2 linked regions of the Arabidopsis thaliana genome follow. The protein of the gene in region 1 binds, or shares a complex with, the protein of each later gene. Links are inferred from orthologs where the notes say so. Each region holds a gene or a part of one and is shown on either strand. Other genes may lie near its edges.

Region 1 (5,553 bases):
TTGATTGTTACCTGCTATTTTATCTATATTCAAATTTACTGATGAAAACAAGTGTCACATCTTCTGCAGGGAATGGACATTGCGATTTCGAAATTGAACAACGGAGGGTGGGTTCACATCTTTCCAGAAGGCAGTCGCTCCCGGGATGGTGGAAAGACTATGGGCTCAGCGAAGAGGGGTATCGGAAGGTGAGTCATGTGTGATTTGGGTTCACTTCCCTTATATAAAGCACTCCACTTTAATGTGTCTTATCATTTTATTCTATAACAAGTTTTATTTGTTTTAGGTTGATTTTGGACGCAGATACTCTCCCTATGGTTGTTCCTTTTGTGCATACTGGTATGCAGGATATAATGCCAGTTGGAGCTAGTGTTCCACGGATTGGCAAGACAGTAAGTATATCTGAATCTCCAATTTTTTCTTCCTCGTTTGTAGCTTTCATTTTTGATCTCTTAATAGTTTGATGCATCATGATCTCTGCTCCGCCCAAAATCAGAAAACAAATAAAAAACCATAACTTTCAGAGAAGTAGTTAGTTGCCTCGAGTTAAAATAGTTTAAGAGTGTATTGCTTTGTTTGATTTGCAAGCCCTTGGATACAGATCTAAGACCTCTCGCAATTTTTGTTGGACTTGACTTTTTAGTGATCCGAGGAGTGAATCGGATCTCGAATTAATGATTTAAGAAAGAAAGGATCTATCGATAATTGGGTGATTCATATTTTGAGTAAGTGGATATGTATTGTCCATGGAAGGATATAGAGTTCAAATGCCAGACATTTTGTAGTGTTACTAATTGTCATTAGGTTATTACATTGCTTAATTATGTATTTGCAATCTTTAATCTGTTTGATTTACGTCAAACATTTCGCAGGTGACAGTGATCATTGGAGACCCTATTCATTTTAATGACATTCTCAGCACTGAAGGAGCCCAACACGTCTCAAGGAAACACCTGTATGACGCCGTTTCGTCCAGAATTGGACAAAGACTGTACGATTTAAAAGCACAAGTTGATAGAGTATATATAGAACAACAATCTATGATGTCACACAATGCCAAAACACCCTCGGACCGTGCTGCTGAGATCTTTCATAGAGTCGATTGGGACTCATTTGGGATGGGAGCACAATTTTCAGAAGAATCATCACCCAGTAGTAAACCGATTGGCCAAAGCGATGATCGCATTGTCAGATCTCCCAAAAGGAGAGTCTCACCCGAAGGAGGGGTCAGCTTGAAGATTAAGAAGCTCATGGACTCAACCGAGATGATGGGGTTTGCGGCTAGAGGGTTACTAATGAACGAGTACAAGAGTCGGGTTGAATCTGCCAATGTTGGTAGGCCTTTAAAGGCTTGGAGAGAGTATTTTATGAACCGTGGATTATAACTTGCAAGTTAAACTCCCGTTAGGAATATTAGTTTAGTAATGAGGTTTAAGTCCCACAGGCCACAACAAATGGACATGTTTTTACTTGTCTAATATAGATTTAGCTAGATTTTTTTTTTCGATCACACATGAACTCTTATCTATCTCGTTGTTGTTGTTGTAAATTAGCTTTTAATAAAATCCCAGTTTCTCGAACCTTTTTAATCACAGCAAATACTACATTAAAGATTAGATTTGGTGTGTTTTGCTAAAGATAATGCCTTTCATGCGCTTAAATTAATTTGAATGGGTTTCGATTGAAATTGGGATATTTGCTGCAAAAACGATGCGGTTCGAGTAAGAATGGCCACGTGGCACAATCTATCACATCAAAACGACACCGTCAGAATTCATCATGGTAAACGAACGGTCATGATTTAATCGCGATCCAACACAGGAAAGTTTATGAGTGTGCAATGACGAATGTATCCCTACAGAGTTCAGAATATCGACGGCGACAATTTCTCTCTCCGGCTAACTTTTTTCTAGAGAAAGCTATGGCGGACGAAGAAGATGAGTTACTGGAGACAGAACTAAGTTACGACCAGAAAAAGGAAATCGCCAAGTGGTTTTTCCTCAACGCTCCCGCTGGAGAAATCAATTACGTCGCTAAAGGTACTTAGATGCATCGTACATACATATTTCCGACGATTCCTCCGATGTGTCCCTCAATGAGAAGGCGAGATCATAGATTCTCCGTGTGCATTTTGTTTTGTTTTGAGCATCATGCGTGATTTGACATCTTTGTTTCGATTTCTGTAAATCTTTTGGACTTCTGACAGATTTAAAGGCGGTTTTGAGCGATGAGGAAGTGTACAATGAAGCAGCCATGGAAGCATTTCCAGTGTACAACAAAACTCACATGATTTGCCTTGAAATGCCCAGTGGAGCTGGTGATGTGAGTTAGCATCTTATTCTGGTTCTATTCTACTTAGTTGAAATTTTCATTTGTTGTGTCATAGGAGTTGAATTGTCGAACATTATTGACTTGTAATCTCTGTTATGTGGAATTAGCTATTCTCATGATCTATTAAGATTCTTAGAGAAATGTGGCTAATGAAAAGGGGAAGAGCTTTGAACAATACTTAGTGGATCACTCAGAAGGAGAGAACTCAAGTATACTTTGTGGTATTTGTCTCTCTTAGATGTATATTGCTTTCCTAGGGTTTTTGCTTCGCTAGCTGCAAAGAGGCTAGAGATTAGTCGATCTTAGAAATTAGGGATTTTAAATTCTAGTAGGAGTTCTTCAATTTCGCTGTTTGGATTGAGAATTTTTGAGCTTTGAGTGTCTTGGTCGTGTGTCTTTTTCTTTCCTAGAGAGTTTTTAAAAACTTGCGACTGATATCTACATGCAACACTCTTATGCTGACTATTGTTGATCAAATTGGCAATCAACATAAGTCCTGCATCACCTTTTCATATTTTTTGAAGATGTTATGGGAAAACTGTTTAGTGTTTATTCGCTGCGAGATATCGTAATACTGTTTTGTTGAATCTCAGGTGATTGTCTCATCTTACAGTGAAATTAATGAAAATGAGTACCTTGATCCAAGAACTGCCCAGGTTGCCATAGTTGATCATGTTAAACAGGTACATTATTTTATTGTTGTTGTTCTTCATTATGGTGTGCCATGATCTGTGAATCTAATTTAAGCTTACCTCTCCTCTCTTTGACCAGATTTGTACAAAGGTACGGCCTGCAAATGATGAAGAACTTCCTTCTTTGTATATTGAGGAGTACAGGTATGGATTTTTACACCCAGCTGTAGGATTTAAGATCAGGTTCATGCATCACCATTCAGTTCAGAATTATCATATATTCGTAGCCTAAGTTCTTATGGCAACAAAGGCAAACATTAGAAAAGCACTTTCAGAAGTTTAGGAATAAAGGGCAATGAACCTGGAGTGATCTACATTATTTTTGTCTTACTGCTGAATACATATGTTGAAAAGGTTGTTTTGCTCATTACAGATATGCTCTTGATGCTGAAATCCAGAGATATGTTAGTGAATCTTATCCGAAAGGTATGTCTGCAGTTAATTGTGTGAAAGGGAAAGATAATGAGGGTCCAGGGTCCGACTTTGAGCTTGTTGTTATAATTACTGCTATGAGACTTAGTCCCCAGAACTTCTGGTGAGTACAAAATGACCTTTTACTTATTTCTCCATTTCCATTGTTTAGAGAGAAAAAATGATTTTGAGTGACCAAACCGGGGTGTTTGGCAGTAATGGAAGTTGGAGATCTGTATGGAACATAGATTTCCAGGATGAATCCCAGGTGCTTGACATAAAAGGGAAATTGCAGGTAACATTCGCGACTTGCTTTCTCTGTAAGTTGACTGTGACGTTATTCTATGCCAATTGATGTTCAGTGAGCTTGTTTTAAGTATATCACTTTCTCTTCAGGTAGGAGCTCATTATTTTGAAGAGGGAAATGTGGAATTAGATGCAAAAAAAGATTTCCAAGATTCAACAATATTTCAGGTACCTCATTTTATCTGCGAAACTGTGTACAATAATGTAGACCACAAGCCAGGCCAGGCTAGCATATAATATACACCAAGGGAACAAATATGTGTAGGCTCTGATATAACCTTGTCGTTCATTTTTTGTTCCATTGACAGTCTGCAGATGACTGCGCGATTGCCATAGCCAATATTATCAGGCACCATGAAACAGAGTACCTTGCATCTCTAGAGGTTCCCAATTAGCAACTCATTTATCTCGTACTTTTCCATTTCATGTGTTGTTAATCTCGTTGTATCTGACCCAATCATTAGGTAGCTTATTCAAAATTACCGGATAACACTTTCAAGGTAATTGTCTCTTTCCAAATAACGATTTCAGTGGCTGCACAATGGTAACCTCGAGGTGTATTTAGAAATTTCTGAGCAGATATATGGAATTTTGCAGGATTTGAGGAGGAAACTTCCGGTGACACGAACTCTGTTCCCATGGCAGAACACTTTACAGTTCAGCCTAACAAGAGAGGTCGAGAAAGAACTTGGACTTGGCAAGTGACTAATCATCAACTCGCAACCTTTTGAGTGCTATATTTCGTTGTCAAAGTTTCTGTGATTTCCATTATGTAAGTGAAGGATAAGTATTATTTCTGTTGTGTCTTGTCTTTCCTTTGGAGTAATGTATACAAATCGCATTAGTAAGTATGATAGATATTGTTCCGCAAGCCGCATGAAAGAATTGAAGTTTGGTCCCAAAAAGAGCTCCGTTGCCGGGAATCGAACCCGGGTCTCCTGGGTGAAAGCCAGATATCCTAACCGCTGGACGACAACGGATATGTTATTGGAACTGTTAAAGAACTAAATATGTATTAAACTTTAATATGAATGATAAAGATTTCCTTAAATAATCTGTTAATAAAAAAAAAGCAAAAAAAAAAAAAGAGAGCACAATTTGAAAGGAAAGCCCAATAATAGAGGCCCATGGTGAAAGTCTTAGGCCCCGGGTGGTAATCTAATCACGTTTGTAGTGATAATCTAATCACGTTTGTTTTTAATGATAATGCGTTGTCCCCATCCTTGTTCTTAATTCAATTGTCAATCACCTCCATTAATTTTGTGTTCACCTCGGTTAGAAAGCTTTGTTTTAATTTGTTAAGACGATGCTGATATATCCTGAATCATGATTAAATTAAAATCCTTAAGTTAAAGTCATTACAAAAACCACTTTTGAATATTGATCAGATATTGGTCCCATGCCCAAAACGATGGTGCAAAATGTCTAAAGAGTGATAAGCTAGCAATTACTAGATATATACTAAAAGAAATAGTTTCAGTTCCAAGCATGAGCACTAGTCATAGTTGAGGCTCACAAATTTCTTGCAAATCATCTTCGAGTTTTCCACGTCCAGAGATGGTCTCCTTCCTCCTGATACACACACAAACAACTAAGTATCTTCCATCGTCTAAAAATAAACAAAAGCATACGTAATTACCCATTTCCTCCACCTTCTTATTTATAATCAAGTTGAACAATTTTCAAATCATCCAAGACACAATCATTTATTAAATATTGATATATGCAATGACAAAATATCCAAAAGTATTGACTTCAATGACATTCAATTTTTGCTATTTTTTTATTTTTTTGTACGAATAGTCTTCAGATC
Region 2 (4,834 bases), on another chromosome or scaffold:
AGAGAATTCACAGAGTGATAATGGAAGAAGAAGAAGAAGAGTGAGTTACCAAAAACGCAGCGTCGTTGGGATGATGATGAAGCCATTGGGGATTATTAAGAGAAGATAACGAAGAAGAAGGTGAAGCGCTGCTTCATCTTCTTCCTGCTAAGTAACGGGTCGAGATTCAAATCGAATTCGAAACAGTTGAGTTTCGTTAAATTCTTCTGAAGAGAGAGATCTTTCGTATTCGTCGTCGATAGGAGACTTTTTGTCTTTATTTTTCAGTTTTTGGTTTTAAAGAGTTAAGAAGAGAAGACGAATGAAATTATTTAGCAAAACGATTAGTACCGTCGTCGTCGATATTTATTTATATCTCTCTCTACAACAAGAATAAAAAAAAGAAAGCCGAAAAAGGAAACTGATATTTTGGTTAAAAGGAAATTTATTTTAATATCTTTTTTTATATGTTGGACAAAAATATTTGTATAGTTATTGATTAGGTTGTTATTAGTTACTGACCGTCTAGATGGCACCTAGGCGCTAAACGGACTCATATGGCGATTACATCAAGGATTCTTACTTTCTTTGTCCATTCGGTATGCATGTCGAAGGCAGTGCGATATCACTAAATGAGGTTTGATGCTTTAGGTCCTAAGTTCACAACATGTCGCAGCCACCACTGATTCTGCTATTCTATACTTTTGGAGAAAACCAAGCATTTCCATAATATTTATACGACTTTTAAAACTGCATCATTCGTTATATTTATGGGAAAAGATGGTCACATGATGGTGAAGTCAGAGAAAAACATGGGAGTAAGAGACATCCACACAAAACACTCGGAGAAGCGTTTAAGATCAGACCAACCAAAACAAACAAATATCGAGACCTTCTTACATAAAGCGTGATCGGAGGAGCATCAGGTCAGGTGTCAGGCAATCTCATTTGTACAATCTCAGCTGGTGGACGCAATGTGCAAACCATTTCTCTTGTCTTCCCAAAGTAAACCTGCGCTTTTCACCAAACAATTCTCAAACCCTTGAAGCTACGCACATTACGTTATTCTTTTCTCTTGGTCTAGATTAATTCATGAGATGTTAGAAAGTGATTTGATCTAAAACTTATCCTACAATTCTCGTTTACTTATTTTGGGGTCTGCCAAGCACCACAGAACAACTGTAGCATGAGCTTTAACTAACTAAGCAATCCGAATGCCGGTAATTAAGAAACCATTTTCAGCATATATGGCGGTTACACAAGTAGACGGAGTTTGTGGAATTGGTGCAGGGATTGGAGGTAGAACCTGATCAAGTGAGTTCCTCAGTTTGCCTTCCAATTCTTCAATCATTCTCCCCATATTGCACAGGTGTCCGTCAGCTACTGCTAGCTCCATTTTCATCTAATTTCAACAGTAGCAGAATAATGTTATTCTTTTACAGATATTTGGTTTTCCTCCATTGAATCACAATTCATACCAGGAACTATTTATCTATGAAGGCATGGGCTAAATAGAAGCTAATACTTACTTGTCTTCTAATTGATCCAGATAAGCCGAATTTGCCCGAAGACTCATCATCAGTTGTCAGAGAAAGCATGATGGTACTTGTTAAGCAATATTGTGCCATTTCCTCCTCCTCTGAACCAACCTAGTTGAGAACCTCAGGCATTAGAAGCAAAATATGAAGTCTCATTAAAGAGCTGCTTAGGAAACTATGATAAAGTTGCAATTGAGGGTGGTATGTGTTACAAAATGGGCAACATTTTAAAACACATAAGGCACGCTTGGTAATGGTATGTTAAGAGAGTCACCTGTATAACATGTATGGCATCCCACGCTCCTTCCTCCAGGCATCCCCTCCGACCATGACCTGACTTTGACCCATCTTCGAAAAATAAAAACCAGAACAGCTCAGGTAAAGAGTTTTTATTGCCTAACATTCAGTGTTATTGAACTCTACAGAAAGAATGTACCTTTCTTGATAAGGAAACATGCCACAAAGCCTTCATTATCATCCTCCCACATGTAGACTGAAGATATACCACCTTCATAATACCTGGAAAAGAAAACTGATCAACACAGGTGTTCTTTTGGTAACTTTGCAAGCTTTTTTCAGTCTCCAGTCTAATGGATACATTAGAAGAATGAAACACATATCATATATTGTTAAACCATGAGATAAATCTCACGACTAGGCAAGCCTTTTTTTCAGATCAGATGCTAACTATGTCTCCGTCTTAGATAACTCAAATTACTTTCACTACATGGTTTTCATGTTGAACGAGGTAGGTAAAGAACCTCACTGGTCACGATAGATCGCAAAGATATCGTTGGCTTCAACTTCAAGCTTTCTTAATTCAGAAGATGGGTAAAGAGCATCCTCTAGCGGAGGAAGATACTTATTTGACCAAGGTGACCTGCAAAAGTAAAGATTACAAGAACCAACAAATAGCAATTTAGCTATGAACACGAAGTACTGTATCATCCCAAACCAAAGCGATCCAATATTTTGAATTTTCTCTCTACACAATGAAATAGAGCAAAAAAGTACCTGTAGGAATCTGCATCTCTATTATACTCACACAAGATGAAATCTTTCCCACTTTCAATATCACGTAACACCTGTCATTACATCACCAAACCAAACATTGGGAGATAAGCACGACTAAGGCAACAAAATCACATTTTCAAATCTCGATAAAGATAGAAAATACCTGAAGAGGGAGATCGACTTGAGAGAGAAGATCGGAAGAATGTTGAGGAATGAGGCTTAGAAGAGCAGATAGAGCCGTCTCCGACTGCTTCGGCGGCATTCTCCGGAGAAGTCCCAAAGCTGCCTCCATTTTTTTCCAACCTCGCCGGAGAAAAAAAACACTTCTCCTCTGAGAAGACGAACTAAAAGGTAACAACCGAATAACCAATCTCTTATTGTCTATTATACCCTTTAGGCCCATCATAAGGCCCAAACATTACGAGGCCTTTTACTAAGCGACGTCGTTATGAACAGAATATTTATTTTTTGCTTTCCTGGGATTATAAATCTTTTTTTCCATCGGACGGTGAATTGTTAGTCATGTCATCGATGACGGAGAAGGAGAAGGAGAGAGATCCACCACCACCACATCAAGAGATTGAAGAGACTACTCCGTTGCTCGAAAATTCTCAACCGGAAAGTGAATTGAGATCGACGACCGCGGCGGCGAAGGTTCCTGAGGTGGAGATTCATCTGTATAAGTGTGGAAAAGGTCCGATCGATGTGTTCAAGTCAAATCTCGGCGGTTATGAGCAGGATCAGCTCGAGGTTCGATCTATTCTTGAGAAATATGGCTTGAAAGCAATCTTCGCTTTCAACGTTGAGAAAGGTCGTGCTGTTCCGATCAGATTTCACCCTAGGAATGGTCGGTCTGTGTTGCCTTATAGGGATGGTGCCGTCATTTACATCGACGGTGAACCTCAGGTAATCTGATTGTTTTGATTTTGAGTTTTCACTTACGCAATAGGAAAAAAGGACAGAGAACGATCTCCTTAGCTTAGTTATAGTTCCCTACTGATGCTTGAATGAATAAACTCACGGTGAATATTGTTGCATTGCATCTGTTGGACCTTCTCTGAACGCATGATTAAGGAATAGGATAGGACCCAATCTGCTTCTTGTCTCCTTTACATGTTCTTCATACCCTTGGATTGTAGAATTACTCTACATTGGCGTTCTGCATTTAGATAAGTTGATGGTTTTCTTTTGATTGTGCTCATAAACCTCATACATGTCTCTAGACTTTCTAGGCTTCTTTACTCTTCAATTGCCCTGGAATATCAATTAACGTGGATTCGGTGTCTCATGGAACCTTAGGTTTAGGTCAAAGCTTGTATTCTTACTTAAAGTAAACAATTTCTTGGAATCACTCCTATGGCTCATAGATTTAGAATACGCATGTAGAAACTAGAATGGATGTCATGGTATTCTGACTTCGTTGGGGCGTAAAAAGTCTTTGGATAATATTGTTGCAAGAACAGAAAAAAAAAGCATTAAAACATGCAGCTTTAATTGGGTGATTCATCTGATAACACTATTAATTTGAACACCTTTTGTTTTCAGGATTCCCTGCTCAAACCCATCACCAGAATCATTCTCGGAGTTGTGATTGTTACGCTCTTAATAACATTTCTATTGAAAGACCCTCCAGCTTGGATCAAGAACAACATCTCCATTGGGACCTTTCCTCCATGGGTGCTCGCATGCATAGTTATAGTTTTCACTCGAGCTAGAAAGAGAACCAGGGACTTCTTCAAGAAGTATGGCTGGTAGTTTCGCAGACCCTAACACTCGTCTCGCTTAAAATGTGGTCGAAATTTGTAGTCTTTCATCGACCATATATATAGAGGTTCTCTTGCCTTAACCCAACAAGTTCCCTTCCTTGGCAAGACTCTTCGTCTTTGATACGCCTTGAGGCGCCAAATTGCTTGCTTTCAGAACTAAGAGAGAGCAATCATTTTCTTCATTTGCATTTTGTTGAAGTTTATAGTTTTATGCATTTCCATGTGTAATGCGATTTGGTTTTTGCCATTTTGATGGAAACTGATACTTATTTTCTAAAACCCAATAGTTTGGCAACAAGCCTGTCCATATTTAATCTCTACATTCCTCCCTGATAATATGAAAATTTAGTCTTGTAACGCATGACATGCTCAGTTTCGTACATATGTCAGATAGTGTTTCAGAAATATCTAAAATGAATGACAACATCACCCATATCGAACTTACTTTTTGGTGGTAGAAAATATTTAGTCGACTAGAGTCTGACATTTTACTCTATTAATCACGAGTACTTAGCAATCTCTGTTCAATAGATTTCA

What was found.
Region 2: the proteins of CPA (region 1) and CPB are in contact, whole or in part, in a crystal structure (PDB 4AKR), measured with the Dictyostelium discoideum proteins. The link is inferred for Arabidopsis thaliana from one-to-one orthologs. Residues at the interface, in XP_645243.1 of Dictyostelium discoideum: Leu7, Ile10, Phe14, Asn17, Pro19, Glu22, Glu25, Val26, Asp29, Val30, Ala32, Leu33, Leu34, Tyr125, Asn127, Glu128, Tyr129, Tyr130, Pro131, Thr154, Cys155, Ile156, Tyr157, Tyr163, Ser164, Gly165, Arg166, Trp167, Val190, Asn191; in XP_647630.1 of Dictyostelium discoideum: Lys4, Gln5, Cys8, Cys9, Asp11, Leu12, Met13, Arg14, Arg15, Leu16, Pro17, Pro18, Gln20, Asn24, Gly27, Leu28, Asp30, Leu31, Val32, Ile103, Phe104, Ile106, Tyr107, Leu110, Tyr111, Phe112, Glu113, Lys136, Thr137, Gln138.

Annotation. Positions count from the first base shown.
Region 1 is NC_003074.8:1,596,690-1,602,242, forward strand, and holds CPA (Subunits of heterodimeric actin filament capping protein Capz superfamily), read left to right. Parts: upstream 1-1,921; coding exon 1,922-2,039; intron 2,040-2,206; coding exon 2,207-2,322; intron 2,323-2,924; coding exon 2,925-3,014; intron 3,015-3,102; coding exon 3,103-3,167; intron 3,168-3,396; coding exon 3,397-3,558; intron 3,559-3,650; coding exon 3,651-3,729; intron 3,730-3,830; coding exon 3,831-3,908; intron 3,909-4,048; coding exon 4,049-4,123; intron 4,124-4,204; coding exon 4,205-4,240; intron 4,241-4,337; coding exon 4,338-4,441; coding exon of another isoform or gene 4,442-4,445; exon of another isoform or gene 4,446-4,522; coding exon 4,523-4,748; downstream 4,749-5,553. Other genes in the region: AT3G05510 (Phospholipid/glycerol acyltransferase family protein), read left to right, coding at 70-188, 287-392, 873-1,385. UniProt on the Arabidopsis thaliana protein: F-actin-capping proteins bind in a Ca(2+)-independent manner to the fast growing ends of actin filaments (barbed end) thereby blocking the exchange of subunits at these ends.
Region 2 is NC_003070.9:26,994,858-26,999,691, reverse strand, and holds CPB (Subunits of heterodimeric actin filament capping protein Capz superfamily), read right to left. Parts: upstream 2,888-4,834; 5' UTR 2,824-2,887; coding exon 2,695-2,823; intron 2,603-2,694; coding exon 2,532-2,602; intron 2,398-2,531; coding exon 2,284-2,397; intron 2,037-2,283; coding exon 1,954-2,036; intron 1,866-1,953; coding exon 1,792-1,865; intron 1,629-1,791; coding exon 1,509-1,628; intron 1,382-1,508; coding exon 1,286-1,381; intron 991-1,285; coding exon 907-990; 3' UTR 625-906; downstream 1-624. Other genes in the region: CSTF64 (cleavage stimulating factor 64), read right to left, coding at 50-86; AT1G71780 (WD repeat protein), read left to right, coding at 3,054-3,437, 4,077-4,286. UniProt on the Arabidopsis thaliana protein: F-actin-capping proteins bind in a Ca(2+)-independent manner to the fast growing ends of actin filaments (barbed end) thereby blocking the exchange of subunits at these ends.